Linked DNA regions of Elephas maximus indicus. The protein of the gene in region 1 binds, or shares a complex with, the protein of each later gene. Links are inferred from orthologs where the notes say so. Each region holds a gene or a part of one and is shown in the gene's direction. Other genes may lie near its edges.

What was found.
Region 2: the proteins of YWHAZ (region 1) and CRTC1 are in contact, whole or in part, in a crystal structure (PDB 7D8P), measured with the Homo sapiens proteins. The link is inferred for Elephas maximus indicus from reciprocal best matches to the Homo sapiens genes YWHAZ and CRTC1. Residues at the interface, in NP_001129171.1 of Homo sapiens: Asn42, Val46, Lys49, Arg56, Arg60, Lys120, Arg127, Tyr128, Glu131, Gly169, Leu172, Asn173, Val176, Tyr179, Glu180, Leu216, Ile217, Leu220, Asn224, Leu227, Trp228; in NP_056136.2 of Homo sapiens: Arg147, Arg148, Thr149, Asn150, Ser151, Asp152, Ser153, Ala154, Leu155, His156.

The regions. Positions count from the first base shown.
Region 1 is NC_064833.1:41,043,958-41,051,539, forward strand, and holds the start of YWHAZ (14-3-3 protein zeta/delta), read left to right. Parts: upstream 1-4,576; 5' UTR 4,577-4,760; intron 4,761-4,819; exon of another isoform or gene 4,820-5,093; intron 5,094-7,582.
Region 2 is NC_064821.1:38,589,906-38,597,301, forward strand, and holds the start of CRTC1 (CREB-regulated transcription coactivator 1), read left to right. Parts: upstream 1-4,388; 5' UTR 4,389-4,400; coding exon 4,401-4,526; intron 4,527-7,396. UniProt on the Homo sapiens protein: Transcriptional coactivator for CREB1 which activates transcription through both consensus and variant cAMP response element (CRE) sites.

The DNA.
Region 1 (7,582 bases):
TACTTGTTAAATATTACTATGTAATATGTCTTAGGCTGGGTTCTCTGGAGAAGCAAAACCAGTAAAGCATATATATAGCAAGAGAGAAAGATTTACATCAAGGAAACAGCTCACATGACTATTGTAGAGGCTGGAATGTCCCAAGTTTGTGGATTAGGATAGAGGCTTTTCCTGATTCACATAGCCACAGGGGCTGGCGAACCCAAGATTAGCAGGTGGGAGAGCAGGACTCCTGCTCATAGGCTATGAGGATCTGCAAATGCCAAGATCAGCAAATAAGCTGCTACCTCAAGTCCCAAGAGCTGGAGGCAGCTGCAGGATCCAGAGAGGGCAAAAGCCAGAACGTCCACTTATATTTGGACGCAGGCTACATGCCCAAGGAAACTCCCTTTCAGCTGACTGGCTACTCACAGCAGATCCCATTATGGGGTGACCACATATAAACACTGAGAATCATGGCCCAGCCAAGTTGACACACAATCTTAACCACGACAGTCCACCCCTTGTCAACTTGGCACCTGTACACGTCTCCACAAACCATACATATTCTCTGAATAAAGACAATTACAAAGTTATACTTGTGCCTAACGTGATACAACTAACACGCATACAACTGAAAATGCACTAGCCCTGTTTACATCTTATATTTTATAATTGAAGAAAACAAAAATATTTGATGCACACATACAATGGAGAAATACTCATAACAATTACAATCCTTGTTTCTGCAACCGGTTATATGGCCATAACTGGTATTTAGAACTACCTTCTTCACCACCCATTCCATATTCCCTTTGCCCTCAGCAAGCACGTCAGCTGGTCATGGTTTTTTGCCTGGTGGGGTGACCCAAACCTTCATTCCGGAAGGGTCTGGGCCATTAGTAGTCATGTCAGAATTGGGTTGCTGTAGTTTTCCATTGACTTTAATCACAGGGCATGATAGTACTGAGACACCCTAAGGAATCTCCTGCATTCCAGACATACTCTTCTTTACCTCCATTATGTGATATTGATACATTTTCTTCTCAGTAATCAGGATAATCACTTGATTGGGAGGAAGGGTAAGCAGAGGATATGCGTATCCACAGGATACCAGTGGCATAGCTTTCAGCACCACAGCAACACAAGAGCCCCCCCACCGTATGAAAAACTGACAGACACATGGGGGTTAAATATATAAAACCAAGAAAAACCAAACCCACTGCCATTGAGTCGGTTTCGACTCATAGCCACCCCATAGGGTTTCCGAGGCTGTAAATCTCTACGGAAGCAGACTGCCACATGTGTCTCCTGCAGAGCCGCTGGTGGTTTCAAACCGCTGACCTTATCTTCACAATCCTTTGAATGGTAGAGACATCAGATATAACCATTTACAAATAAATGATAACCAAGTTATTGAATGCTTTGTGTTAGGAATCTTGCTAAGCACTTTATGTATATTACTATTTGATCCTCAGCACCACCTAACCAGGTAAATACTTATTACCAGTATTTTATTGATGTGGAAATTGAGGCATGGAGAGGTTAAGCAACTTGCCTGAGGTAACAAAGTTGAGAAGGGAAGAAACTAAAACAGGTCAGGCTACTGGTGAAAGTCTTCAGTAATTTTCTCAGAGTTCAAGTCATAGGTTCTACTTATTCTGCTCCTCTGTTTATCACTGTCATAGGTTATTCCTTATTCCTCAAAATACTTTTCACCTGGGGTTTTCATGACATTTTCTACTTTTGCTTTTCTGCAGTCTCCTTACACCCTTATTCCACAAACATGCTGAGTATGTAAAAACCTAACAGTTCCTATTTCACTAAAAAATGTTTTGCTACTTAAAGCATGAGACAAAAACCTAACTTATCTGTTTCCTAAAGTAAATTCACAATTTACTTATGCAGAGAAATTTTTGCTTCCTCTAAAAAGGCATATATTCTATATAGGCATGTATTTGAGACATAAAGAAATGTCAATTTTCCTTTTTTAAAAAGATTTATTTTTAATGTCCTCTCAAATTTCTGGTGCCTAGCACAGAACTTAAGCAACTTTTTAAAAATTAGCTTTTAATATATTAGTCATTTTAAGTGAGTCACTGCCTAAAAGAATTTACTTGGGAGTCAAAGAATGGTAAACTTAACATCTCAGAAATAAAACCCAATCCATTTGCTCATCCATTCAGCCTACTATGAATCTCTGCTGAAACTTGGAGAAAATAAAAAACACTGAAATTAAACTGGTCACTGGAAACTCTTCCCAGTGTACTAGTTACAAGTAGTCCCGACTTACCACAGGGTTCTGTTCCCAGGACTCCAGGGTAAGTCAGTCCTGACATAAGTCGAATACCTCATTTTCTTTTTAGTTTTCAATATTATTGCCTTTTATTATTAGTATCTTTATAAATCTGATCTTTGTCTTTGGGGATTGGAAACATTACAGATAAATTTACAGATATAGTATCAACAGATTAAGTGCTGCAACACTGTGTGTAGTAAACGCTAACCCAAAAAACCAAACCCAGTGCGGTGGAGTCGATTCCGACTCATAGCGACCCTATAGGCCAGGGTAGAACTGCCCCATAGTTTCCAAGGAGCACCTGGCGAATTCAAACTGCCGATCCTTTGGTTAGCAGCCGTAGCACTTAACCACTATGCCACCAGGGTTTCCGTAGTACATGTTAAAAAAAATATTACCAACCATAAAATGTACAAAAGAAAGGGGCGGGGGTACAGTGGTTAAGCCTAGTTTGTCTTAACTGCAATAGCCTTAAATCGGGAACTACCTGTATTATCCAAACGCCAGTTGTGACTTCAGGTGAAACGTATTTGTAGAACAGTCTATCCACTGTACTCATCACATAGAAGACAAGGTGCTGGTAGGGACAGGAATCATATCGTGCATCTGCTGCTGAGAAATCTAGTACTCTACTGAACAGTAAAGAGGCTGTGCTAGCTCATCAGGCTCTTTTGCCACCTGTACCCAGGGCAGGGCCCTAGTAGCTGTTCAGTAAAGATGCTACGAAAAATGCGTTATGCTGAAAATAAAGATATGTTCAGAAATCAAGAGGCCAACACGGAGATGAAGAATCAAGAGGCCAGGGTAGTAGGAAGAGTTCCCGGTTCTCACTGCTATGTTACTTTTGCAAGTGGTTTTTGCAGGTCATTCCAGGACTATTCTTTTAACAAATTTGAAGGTAGTGGGGACAGAGACATTTGGTTATAAACTCGTTATCTCTTTGAACTTCCTTAAATTGTCTTGGCAGAGGCCCTACCGTTTTAGGTTGGCACGCTTGTGAGGCACCTGCAATTTCCGCCACTGGTCACCCTTCCTTCCCCCAGTCTTCTGGGCTCCTGGTTCCCGCTCACCTTGCCTGCGGCCAGCTTCTACCATCAGCCGGGTCAACAGGGGACTCTGGGAACTACTACAACCCTCAATACTTGCTTTCAGTAGAATAAAAGGTAATGATTTTCGTTTTAAATCACTGCAGTATGAGGTCTTCAAGTAAAAGCTTTATTGGGATAGAAAAATCTAACCTGTGAGAAACGAACCAGTGTGTTCAAAACTCTGCTTCTTTGCCGCCTTCATTTTAAGGCTTTCGGGATCGCCTCAAGCCCCCCATCTAAGACTGTCTTTTCCCCTCGGGAACTGTAGGCTTTTTGGAAGCCGCAGCGTCTCTTTCCAGGCCTCACCTCCCTCTAGCTCCGCCCGGCCCACCTCACCCCCACGTCGGCGCCCACCCATTGTCCCCTCGCGGCTGTCTTTGCGCGCGGATCCGGGGCTCCCGATTGGAAAACTTCCCCGTCACTCAGCCCACACTCGGGGGCCGGACACCTCAGTCTTTCCCTAGCCTTAAAAGGGCTAAGGCCGTTTTTTTCCCCGAGCCAGCAGGTAAACCCGCGAGGCGGAAGGGAGGGGCCGCGCGCCCAGGTCGGCCTCGCCTAGCGCTGGGGAACGGCCAGGAGTGGAGGTGGGGGAGGGAGCTCGCAACGCCCCCTCTCCCTGACCACCTGGCCGCGCCCTGCCCCACCATCCCGATCATAATGCCAGAGCTGCGGAGCCACTCTCGTAATTCAGTCCCGGGACAGCCAGGAGCAGTTACCACCGCGAAGCACGGGGGGCGGGGCGGGCAGGCAGGCAGCGGGAGACGGGTGGGGGGGAAACGTGAAAGGTCCCGGATGTTGCTGAACCGGAGCCCTTTCTGGAAGGAGTGACTGGCGCAGGCGCAGGAGGACCGAACGAATAGCTAAGGTGGGGGTGGGGAGAGATTTCCTTCCCTCTAGTTGAGAGGTTTTTTTTTTTGAATTGAGAGGAAAAGTGAGCCGGAGGTTGAAGGGAGATAAAGAGAGTGTCGGGGATCCGAGGTGAAAGCGAGGTAGGGGGTAGTGTTGGAAAAAAAAAAAGTTTCCTGCCCCGGACAAGAGTGGAGAAGTTGGAAGCTGAGCGGAGTGGGGAGGAGTGTGGGTAGAGGGAGAAGACGCACGCTCCTCCTCGCTCGCCCTCTAGCGCGGGCGGGCAGGGAGCGCGCGCTAGGGAGCGGCGGTTGCGCTGGGCCCCCAGAGCTGTAGGCACCAATCAACGGTTGCCATAGCAGCGTTTGACGTCATCGTACGTGTGGTGCCCCTGCTGCCGGGGCCGGTGATTGGAGGAAACCCCGTGTCTGCGGAGCGCTGTAGCCTGTGAGCAGCGAGATCCAGGGACAGAGTCTCAGCCTTGCCGCTGCCGCCGCCCAGAGACTGCTGAGCCCCCGTCCGTCCGCCGCCACCCACTCCGGACACAGGTAAGGGGCCCGACTGCCGCTGCCTCGCTCCATTCTTTTTTGTCGCAGACCAGCCTTCCGAAAACGTGGGAGCTTTCCCTGCTCCACATCTCCTCACCCCGGCTTGCCCCGCCGTAGCGGCGCTGAGGCGGAGTCTCCTCAGGCGGAGACGGGCGGCGGCTTCTCTTCCGCTGGTCTCGGGCAGGCGGTTCGCGGCTGCCTCCGGCTGCTTGCTTCCGGATCAGTTACTCGGCCCGGATAAGCGCTGGTTCTCCCTCGTTCCCAGTCTGTGGGGGTAGAAAACGCGCCCACACGCGAGATCCCCGGGGATTCACCCGGCCGCCGGGTCCTCGGGTGAGCGACTTATCGCCGAGGCACCCGGGCCCCATCCGTCCCCTGCCCTCGCCCCCGTGACCCCTCAGCCCCCCTCCTTCGGTGCCCCATTCCTCGCTTCCGCCCGAGGTGGCTGCGGGCATTGCAGTGGCGCAGGTGAGGCCGCCCCCTCCCCGCTCCCCGCTTGCCGCCCGCCGCCCGCGCTCCCCTCCCCCTTCCTCTCCCTCCCTCCCTCCCTTCTCCTCGGCGCAGCCTCCGCGCTCCGCGCTGCTGCGGCGGGGCCGGCCCTCCCCCACCCCGGGCGGCGGCGGCGCGGCGGGGAGCGGCCGGGGGCGCAGCGGGGAGGGAGAGGGGCCCTGCCCGGAGCTGTCAGCCAGCTAGGCCTGGGGGAGGTGGCGCTTCGGGGGCCGTGGGTGAGCAGAGCACGGGAAGGAAGGTTTGGGGTGGGGCTCGCCTGGGACCTGGAGCTGAATTTCCTGGGTTCAGCGGTGGGAGGAGGGACTTCAGTGTACCCGGTTTGGGTGGGGGATGAAGGTGGCCTTTTTTTCCTACATGTGAATGGGCGGCGGAGGCGCTGAGGGGGACCGGGAGATCAGGTCGGGAGGGGATGGGGAAGACAGTGGGTCGGTGTCTCGATCTGCCACCGGGTGGACTAGAACTGGAGAGGCCTTGCCTTCGGTTTTGGACAGATATCCTGCTTTCTGCGGCGGGTGTGCCCGAGCTTAACAGCCGGTGGTGGGCCAGCTCTGCTGGGTGTGGCTCTCCCCCTCCCCCACCTGCTGCAGCTGTCGGGACCTCAGACTCTCTAAATGGGCACCAGCGGTATCCGGTGGCGGAAGAGATGCCGGGTGGGAGAGTGGGGTGTGTCCGCGGCCAGACTGGTAGTGGTTCCGCTTCTGCGGGCGGCGCTGGCGTCCCGGCCCCCGGGCGGGCGGGCGGTCCCCCCAGCACGGGGCGGGGCGCCGGCTGCTCCTCCCTCTTGCTCGGAGGGCGCGGTGGGGGGGGGTGGTTAACACTCTGCGGTAGGTTGGGCTCCTTGACACAGATCCGCCATGACAAAGAGGGAGAGTCGGGGACTTGTGCGAAGGCACAAGCTTGGGTGGGGCCAAGGAGAGTGGGCTGCGGATAGCCTGGATGGAAGGATTTACAGTTCAAAATCACTCTCTGCCGTTTTCTATTACCAAACACGACATCCAAAGTCGGTTAAGGGTTAAATGGGTGCGGCGAGTCCTCCGCAATATAGAGGCGAGGCCTTTTTGAGCACTATGCTGTGAGAAGTCTAATCCGCTTCCCCTTGTACTGGAGAGTTGGGAAGAAAAACCTTTGTACTGGTTTTAAATGATTTTGGGGGAGGAACAGCATTAGCCGATGAGTGTTTCTGAGTTCCTAGGAGAGAAAATAATTTCGAGAACTGATGGGAGGATTACTCGATCACAATATTTAAGTAGTTTACACACTGAGACAGTATATCACATATCCACGCTACCTGATTACTTGTTTAAATACCGGGGACCTATGAGTCAGAATCGACTCTACAGCAGTGGGCTTGGTTTTGGTTGGTTTATTGTGATTTGTGGGGGAAATAGTTGCGGGATTTCCCTGGGAAGGTAAAGGATATCATATTGGAGGTTTAGGTCCCATGGGGAAACCCTGGTGGTGTAGTAAAGTGCTACGGCTGCGAACTAAAGGGTCAGCAGTTCAAATCCACCAGGCGCTTCTTGGAAACTATGGGGCAGTTCTGCTCTGTCCTGTAGGGTCGTTATGTGTCGGAATCGACTCGTCCGCACTGGGTTTGGTTTGGTTTTTTTTTTAGTTCCCATGGTGACAGTGGCTCTAATGTTCACCTTTTAGTAGTGCTCCTTAGGCTATAAGTTTTTCCTTAAAATTGTTTATCCTGTGGGATCATTGCATGGTTTAGTATCTTTATGTGCTTTTAGCCCCTTTCAAAAAGATGTCATTAAGGAAAAGTGTAGAGGAGGTAAAATGAAAAGTCTAGGGAGCTCTACAATGAGGGAAAGACATGTGAAGTCATGGAAAAGGGCAGCTTGAGTGGTAACATTCAATTAAATCGTGACTGCTAGAAACTGGAATAGTTTCATGTTTAAACTGGGACAGTGACATTGGAAACACTTGGAGATATTAAGTGCTTCCAATGTGGAATTTTAGTGCTCCTGGGTGAGTAAGAGTTGAAGTTCTAGGACTCCACTATGGGTATGTTTATTATATAAATATGTGTGTATAAACAAGGTATGGGTGCATGAGGCCTTAGGGTCCGTTAGGTATTGATTCTTGGTTATGTTTTACATTCAAAATATCTTAGAACTAGCGATTTGGTCATTTGTCCCATAAAATTGTCATGCTCTGATCAGCTGGCAAATGTTGGAAAGATCCAGTAGAATTGGGGTGGGAATGATATCAACTAAAATTTAAGATTAAATGCTCCCGATAAGAACCCGCTGTTACGAGAGTAAAATGAGCTGAATTACATTAATTTAACATGAATCATGATT
Region 2 (7,396 bases), on another chromosome or scaffold:
CCTTTCACTGCATCTTTAAACCCAGCTCTTGCAAAGTGTCTGATGAGGGCCTGGCTTGGCCATCAGAGATGAACCCTGTCAGCATTCCTCTGTGCTTTCCTGCTCCGATGGCCCTAACTCACCTCTGGATTGACGAAGATCCCATATAAGGAAGCGCAGAAAAGCAAAGCATGAAAATTAGCATTGCGACGTTTGCTTCTCTAACAGTTACCGAATGCTTTTAAGAAGTGGGCAATGTGCTAAGTGCTTTGCCCACATTATCTGTTTAATCTTCCTAAGGGCCTGCTATGAGCAGAGCCAGTGTCCATATTTAACAGGGAGGGTAGATTGCATTTAGAGGTTTCAAGTCAAAGAGTACCATGGCCTGGATACAGGGGAAAGGACATTTCAACCTGTGCAAAGGCTCTGAAGCAGGGCCCAGCAAGGCTGGGTGGAGGATATGAGAAAGGGAAGGCGAGGAGGTGAAGCCAGCAAGGAGGAAAAGGGCCAGTTGGAGCTGTGAGGCAGAGGAGAGAAAACGATCCTATAGGCTTGGATGTGTGCTGTGTGACTGAAGTGAAGCTATTCAACAATCAGACACTCCCAGCCCTATGGGGTCAGGGCTGGCAGGAGAGGAACCCAGGGCTGTGTGAGCCAAGAGTAAGGAATGAAACTCTGCTTGGAGGTCAGGAAAAGCTTTCTGGAGGAGGGAATATTTGAGGTGGGCTTTGAGGGATGAGTAGGAGTTTCTCAGGCAGAAAATGAGTTCAGTCAACAAATACTTCCAGATGCCCCCTCTGTGCCTAGTCTTGTGTTGGCTCTGGGGACCCAAGGAAACAGAATAAACTCAGAGAAGTATACAAAGGAGTTTAAAAAAAAGGGGGGTGGATTTTAAAGTGCCCAAAGCTCTTGGTATGGAGAACAAGCCTTAAGAGAAGGGGACTTTATGTATCTGTGTCCTTTCCCCATCACACAGGAAGCTCTTGAAGGGAAGATCCTGGCCGAGCAAACATACTTTCTACTCCTGACCTCAGGTCACTAGCGGGGAACAGACAGGATCCTGGAAACAGCTTCCTTCAGAGAGCAGGGCGTTCCTGGGTTATAGGACACACAAACACAGGGGAGCCACTTCAGACAGGGACCTCGGGGAGGGTCTCAGTGGAGGAAGGGCCTGAAAGATGAGAAGGTGCCAGATACCAGAGGATCTGAGGGGAGAGCAGGCCAAACACAGGAACAGCACATGCAAAGGTCCTGAGGTGGGACAGCCGGAATGGGGGCCACAGGCTGCATGAGCTGCCAGGAGGGGAGAGAATGTTTTACTAAATTCAGTGGGAAGTATGGTATCCATCCTGGTTTACAGAGACCCCTGGTCTGCTGCAGGGAGCAGCCCTGAAGCCCTCCCCATCCCCAGGCCAGCACTCTGGCTGCAGCAGCTTTCTGAGATGGAGGAAGACAGTGAGCACGATGGGGCTGGGTTCTTCCTGAGTTGCCAGCCGCTGCTTCCTTGGGGTCAGTGGAGTGGGGAGGAGGGCTTGGGCCACATTCAGGCCATTGTGCAATAAGCAAGGCTGGCCACTTCCTCTGACTCATCACAGGGGCTTAGGACAGATTGAGTTACCACCGGGTGTGGGGTGAGCGGGGTGAGTTGAGCTGGCCTGGCCCCTTACTTCTGCCCAAACAGGTGTGCCGCCTCCCAGCACCTTACTGTGCCCTGACACCACCTCCTTCTCCCTCCAAATCTTTTTTCCTCAATCTCTCTGTGCCTGGGAAGCAGCTTAATCTGTGAGTGATCAGGGTAACCAGCATTGTCAAGCACTTACTCTGAGCCAGGCACTTGATATACATTGAAAAACAAAACAGTTGCCGTCAAGTCAGTCCTGACTCATGGCGACCCCATGTGTGTCAGAGCAGAACTGTGCTCCACGGGGTTTTCAGTGGCTAATTTTTCGGAAGTAGACTGCCAGCTCTTTCTTCCATGGCACCTCTGGGTGGACTTGAACCTCCAACCTTTCGGTTAGCAGCAAGTGCATTCACCGTTTGCACTACCCGGGGATACCTGACACACATTAACTGCATTTAAACCTTAAAAAAAACAGCTCAGAGAAGGAAGCTGAGCTCTGCCATGAGATAGGCCTGAGTTCCAGTCTTGGCTCCAGGGCTTGCCTTGCTATGGCCAGCTGCCTTTCTTGCTTTCTATTTCCTGACCTCACAGGATGGTGGAAAGAACTGGAAGGCATATATGCAGAGTGCCCAGCCCTGATCCCTTGGAGCTTTGGTCTTAATCAGTGCCAGGGGCAGAAAATGGAATTCAAATAGACTCAGGCGAAAGAAGGAATAAATTATTGGATCATATAACTGAAAAGATATGATGCTGGCCTCAGGTGTAGCTGGATCCAGGCACTCAGAAGATATGTCTCTCTACCTTTCTGTTTTCCTGTGTGAGTTCCCTCTCTTGGGCCAGTTTCTTCCATTTGGCAACCTCTGTCACTGCAGACCTGTGTTATCCTTAAACCAGTAGCCCACACAAAGGAGTTTCTCCTTCCCATGGCTCCAGCAAAAATCCCAGGATTGCATCTCATTGGACAAACTGGGTCACATGCCCACCCTGAACCAAATGTGGTGGCCAGAGAAATGGGGTCTGCTGACTGCCCAAGGCTTCCACTTTGGGGTGAGGTGTTTGTGGGGAGAGAGGGAAGTGAGGCCAGCCCCATCCACATGTCATGGGCTGAAAGTTGGAAACCGTTCTCTGGAGGACAGCTGGGTGGTGACATCAAAATGCCATCTTGAGCAGATGCTTGTTAGGCAAAAAAGACAAGTTTGCAAAAGTGCTCAAAACAATATAAACAAGAAAAAATCAGGGCAGTGGTGGTGCCCAAAACATTCTAAATATATGTGTGTATGTATTTTAGCATGGACAATTGACATTTGATTAAACTGCTGTAAAGCCAAAGAAAGCATCTTTGGAAAATGATGGGGTCCCCTTTGATCTCCCTCAGTGCTCCCTCCAGCCACCCCTTGGTTTAGTAAAAAGTGTGCTTGCTGTGTGATGACAGCTGCCCCAAATTTCCCGCTGCACTGCCCTCCCTGCTTCAGGCTGCCCTTTCCCCCACCCCTCACCCCCAGTTCTGGCACTTCAATATAAACCTTCTGATATTGGCAATCACAGTCCTGCTTGGGGCGATAGATCGATGTCAAAGCACCCTCACAATGGGGAGACCCTACTTCCCCTTTTTAACTGGGATTTCTGGACTTTCCTTTAGCACCCTAAGTAAAGCTGGGGTCTCCGAACAGGACAGGACTGGCAAAATTCACACAGAAGAGCCTCAAGTGCTGTAATTTCTATTCTTTAGGTCCCTGGGTGGCATAAACAGTTTGTGGTCGACTACTAACTGAAACGTTGGCGATTTGAACCCACCCACTACAAGCCGTGGAAGAAAGGCCTGGTGATATGCTTCGTAAAGATTACAGCCAAGAAAACCCTATGGAGCAGTTCTACTCTGTAACAGATGGGGTAGCCAAGAGTTGGGATCAACTGGACAGCAATGGGTTTTGGGTTTAAGGATCTGGGGGGATAAAGAGAACCAGTCAAATGTCAGGGAATAGGGAAAGAAAGGTGTGGAAGACAACTCTCGGGTTTATGGGCTGGACTCTGCTTGCAAGGGTCAGGCCTCAGCTCAAATGTGCCCCCTCCCCTGACCATGGTGGCTGAGGGAGCACCCCTCCCTCCCTCCCTCCACCTCGCTCCAGCCCATCATGGTTTTTATTTTCCACATTACACCATCGCCATCTGAAATGTTCTTGGTGCTGCTTATGGGTTGTGTGCGTCCAACCTCCACGAACTCTGCACCCCATGGGGGCGGGGACCGCATCTGCTTGTTCATTTCTGTACCTTGGTTTGCCAGTTTGTAGTAGACACTCAACAAATACTCGTTGAATGAATGAATGCTCTAGTCTCAAAGCTAGGGGTCCAAGTCCGGCCCTTGGGGGGTGCCTGGCTCCCCCTTGCAAAGGGTCCCGGCCGGCTGTCTCACTCTTGGGGGCTCCAGCGCCCCAGCCCATCCGGACCTCGTCCAATGAACGGCCAGGTGGCCGCTGTCCAGCGAGCCAGGCGGTGGCTCACCGCGCTTGCGCAAAAATCTTATTCGCTCCTCCACCTCCGCCCCCCGCCAGCCCTCCGCGCCGCTGCTTCGCCTGAGAGAGCCTCCGGTACGCGCGCATGCGTCCTCGCCTCCACGCCGCGCGCCGTTCCCGTGCGCCTGCGCCACGCTCCCGGCCGCCGGCGCGTCTGCGCACTGCCCTCCGCCCGCGGGCCCGGCCAGCGCTTGCGCGGTGGCTCGGGCGAGTGGGGGGCAAGGAGGAGGAGGAGTGGAGGAGGAGGAGGAGGAGGAGGAGGAGGAGGAGGAGGAGGTGGCGGCGAGAAGATGGCGACTTCGAACAATCCACGGAAATTCAGCGAGAAGATCGCGCTGCACAACCAGAAGCAGGCGGAGGAGACGGCGGCCTTCGAGGAGGTCATGAAGGATCTGAGCCTGACGCGGGCCGCGCGGGTAAGGGGCTGCCGCGGCCCAGCACTGGCCGGGAGGGGGCGGCTAGGGGCGGGGGCGCTGGCCGGGCGGCTAGGGGCGGGGGGCGCGGGGGGCGGGGCGGAGGCGGAGTGTGCGTGGCCTGGGGACAGGTGTCCCCACCCTCCGGACGTCGTGGGCGGGACAGGGGCCCCGCATCATTGATACCTGGAAGGGACAGGTGCCCCACATCCTTTCTACCTGGAGGGGACAGGGACCTCTACATCATTGCTACCTGGAGGGGACAGGTGCTCCTGCATCATTACTACCTGGAGGGGACAGGTGTACCCATATCGTTGCTACCTGGAGGGGACAGGAGACACCACATCATTGCTACCTGGAGGGAATAGTGCCCTCTCCATAATTGTTACTTGGAGAGGACAGGTGCTCAGGTGCCCACATCTCATTGCTATCTGGAGGGGACAGGTGTACCTAGATCATTAGTACCTGGAGGGAACAGGTGTCCTCGCATCATTGTTACCTGCAGGGGACAGGTGCCCCCAGCCTGCATTGCTTCCTGGAGAGGGCAGGTGCCTCTTCATCGTTGCTACCTGGAGGGGATGGGGCCTTTACATCATTGTTATCTGGGGGAACAGAGGTCTCTACATTGTTGTTAGCTGGAGGGGACAGATGTCTCTGCATCATTCCTACCTGGAGGGGACAGGTGCTCCCACATCATTGCTACCTGAGGGGGACGTTTCTCCCACATCTTTGTTACCTTGGTGGGATGGAAAAAAAAAATCAAACCTGCTGCCATCAAGTCGATTCCGACTCATAGCGCCCCCTTAGGACAGAGTAGAACTGCCCAATAGAGTTTCCAAGGAGCACCTTGTGGATTTGAACTGCTGACCTTTTGGTTAGCAGCGGTAGCACTCAACCACTACACCATCAGGGTTTCTCTTGGCAGGACAGGCACCCCAAAATCATTGTTACTCGAGGGGGGGAACAGGTGCCTGTATATCATTGCTACCTGAGAGAGGCAGGTGCCTGCACGTAACTGCTACCTGAAGGTGACAGGTGCTCCCAAATTATTGTTACTTGGGATAGGGACAGATACCCCCACATCATTACATGTGGGGACAGGTGCTCCCACATCATTGCTATCTGAGGAGAACATTGTCCCCATATGATTGTTACCTGGGGGGACCAAACTGAAGAAACCCACTGCCGTTGAGTCAATTCTGGCTCATAGTGACCTTACATGACAGAGTAGAAATGTCCCATAGGGTTTCCAAAGCTGTAAATCTTCACAGAACCAGACTGCCACATCTTTCTCCCATTGCTTTGGAGAGGGGACAAGTTCCCCAAATCATTGTTATGTGAGGGAGACAGGTGCCCTTACATCACTGTTACCTGTACTCCTGGGTGCTGGAGGAGCGACAGATGCCTCTCTTGGGGACCTGGGTGGGATAGGTATCTCTCTCAGACACCTGAGAGAAGGGTCAGGTGCTCTCCCCCATGGTGACCTGGGGGTTGGGAAGGCAGGTTGTGGTCAGTCCTGGAGCTTAAAGTGGGGATAGCCACCCTTCATGCATCCCATGTAGTAGGGCCAGGTGATGTTTCCCCCACTGGGACAGGGTCAGGTAGGACCAGGGCGGAGGGACAGCCTGAAGGGGCATCCCAGGTTCTGCCAGGGGCTGGGCTGGGGTTGGGCGCCTTGCTATTGTCCTGGGCTGCTGCTCTTTGCCCACACAACCACAGTGAGGTTCCCAAGCTCCTCTTGCCTCAGTTTCCGCCTTTGTTAGTTGTGGGCCAAGGAGGTAAACTGCTTTGCCCGGATGGCAGTGACCTCAGCCACAACTCCTGCAGAACGGTGGGACCCCTGGCCTGCGCAAGAGGCCTCAGGGAGGGGTTGGGGGAACTTGCTGAGACCACCTCCCTGGGTCCGAGCAGATACAGTCGGGGTGGACCGACCCTATGTGCAGCTCCAGCTCCTTGGTGGAACTTTCTGTCTATGTGGTTTTATAATAGGTTGCTGTTTTTCACTGGGTAGTGACCTTATATACTTGGATACGTGTCTTCATTTTTATGCATTTGTTCATCACCTATCTGCAACTGCTGCTTGGTGGACACGGCACATCGATTTGGCTCAAGCGCCTCATGCGTGTGATCAGGATGTAGAGGAGGAGGTGGTTGGTGAATGAGTGCATGCATGAATGAGTGAAAGTGTGCAGCATAAATGTCCCCTGAAAGACAGGGCTTCGAAGGCAGGGGTGGTGGCTTCATCTTATCTGCCCTGCTGGCATGCAGTAGGTGCCTAATATTTGTAGCGTGACAAGAGGTCACACTACATGGCTGTGGTCAGGGATGAGGTCAGATTTCTGCCTTGGAATTGAAGATAGATTATTGTTTTAGAAAAGATTGTTTTTTAAATAACAGGTTTATCGAAGTATATTTCACATACCATACAATCCACCCATTTAAAGTCTACAACTTAGTAGTGTTTAGTGTACTCAGACTTGTGCGGCCATCACCACTGCCTAATTCCTTAACATCCAGCAAGAGATCCCGTCCCCATTAGCAGCCACTCCCCACTTTCCCTCCTCTCAGCCTCAGGCAACCACGAATCCACTTTTTGTCTCTGGATTTTTCTGTTCTGGGCTTTTCATATAAATGGAAACACACAGTATGTGGTGTTTTGTGACTGGCTTCTTGCGTTCAACATGATGTCTTCTAGGTTCTTCTGTGTTGTAGCATGTGTCAGGGCTTCATTCCTTTTTATGGCTGAGTAATATTTCATTGTATGGATGGACTACATTGTGTTTATCCGTTTGATTGTTGTTGCAAGTAGAAAAGATTTTCAAAATACCCAGCTGGCGGTTCTCTTAGCCGTGGCGCCCACTTCCCGTCTCCTT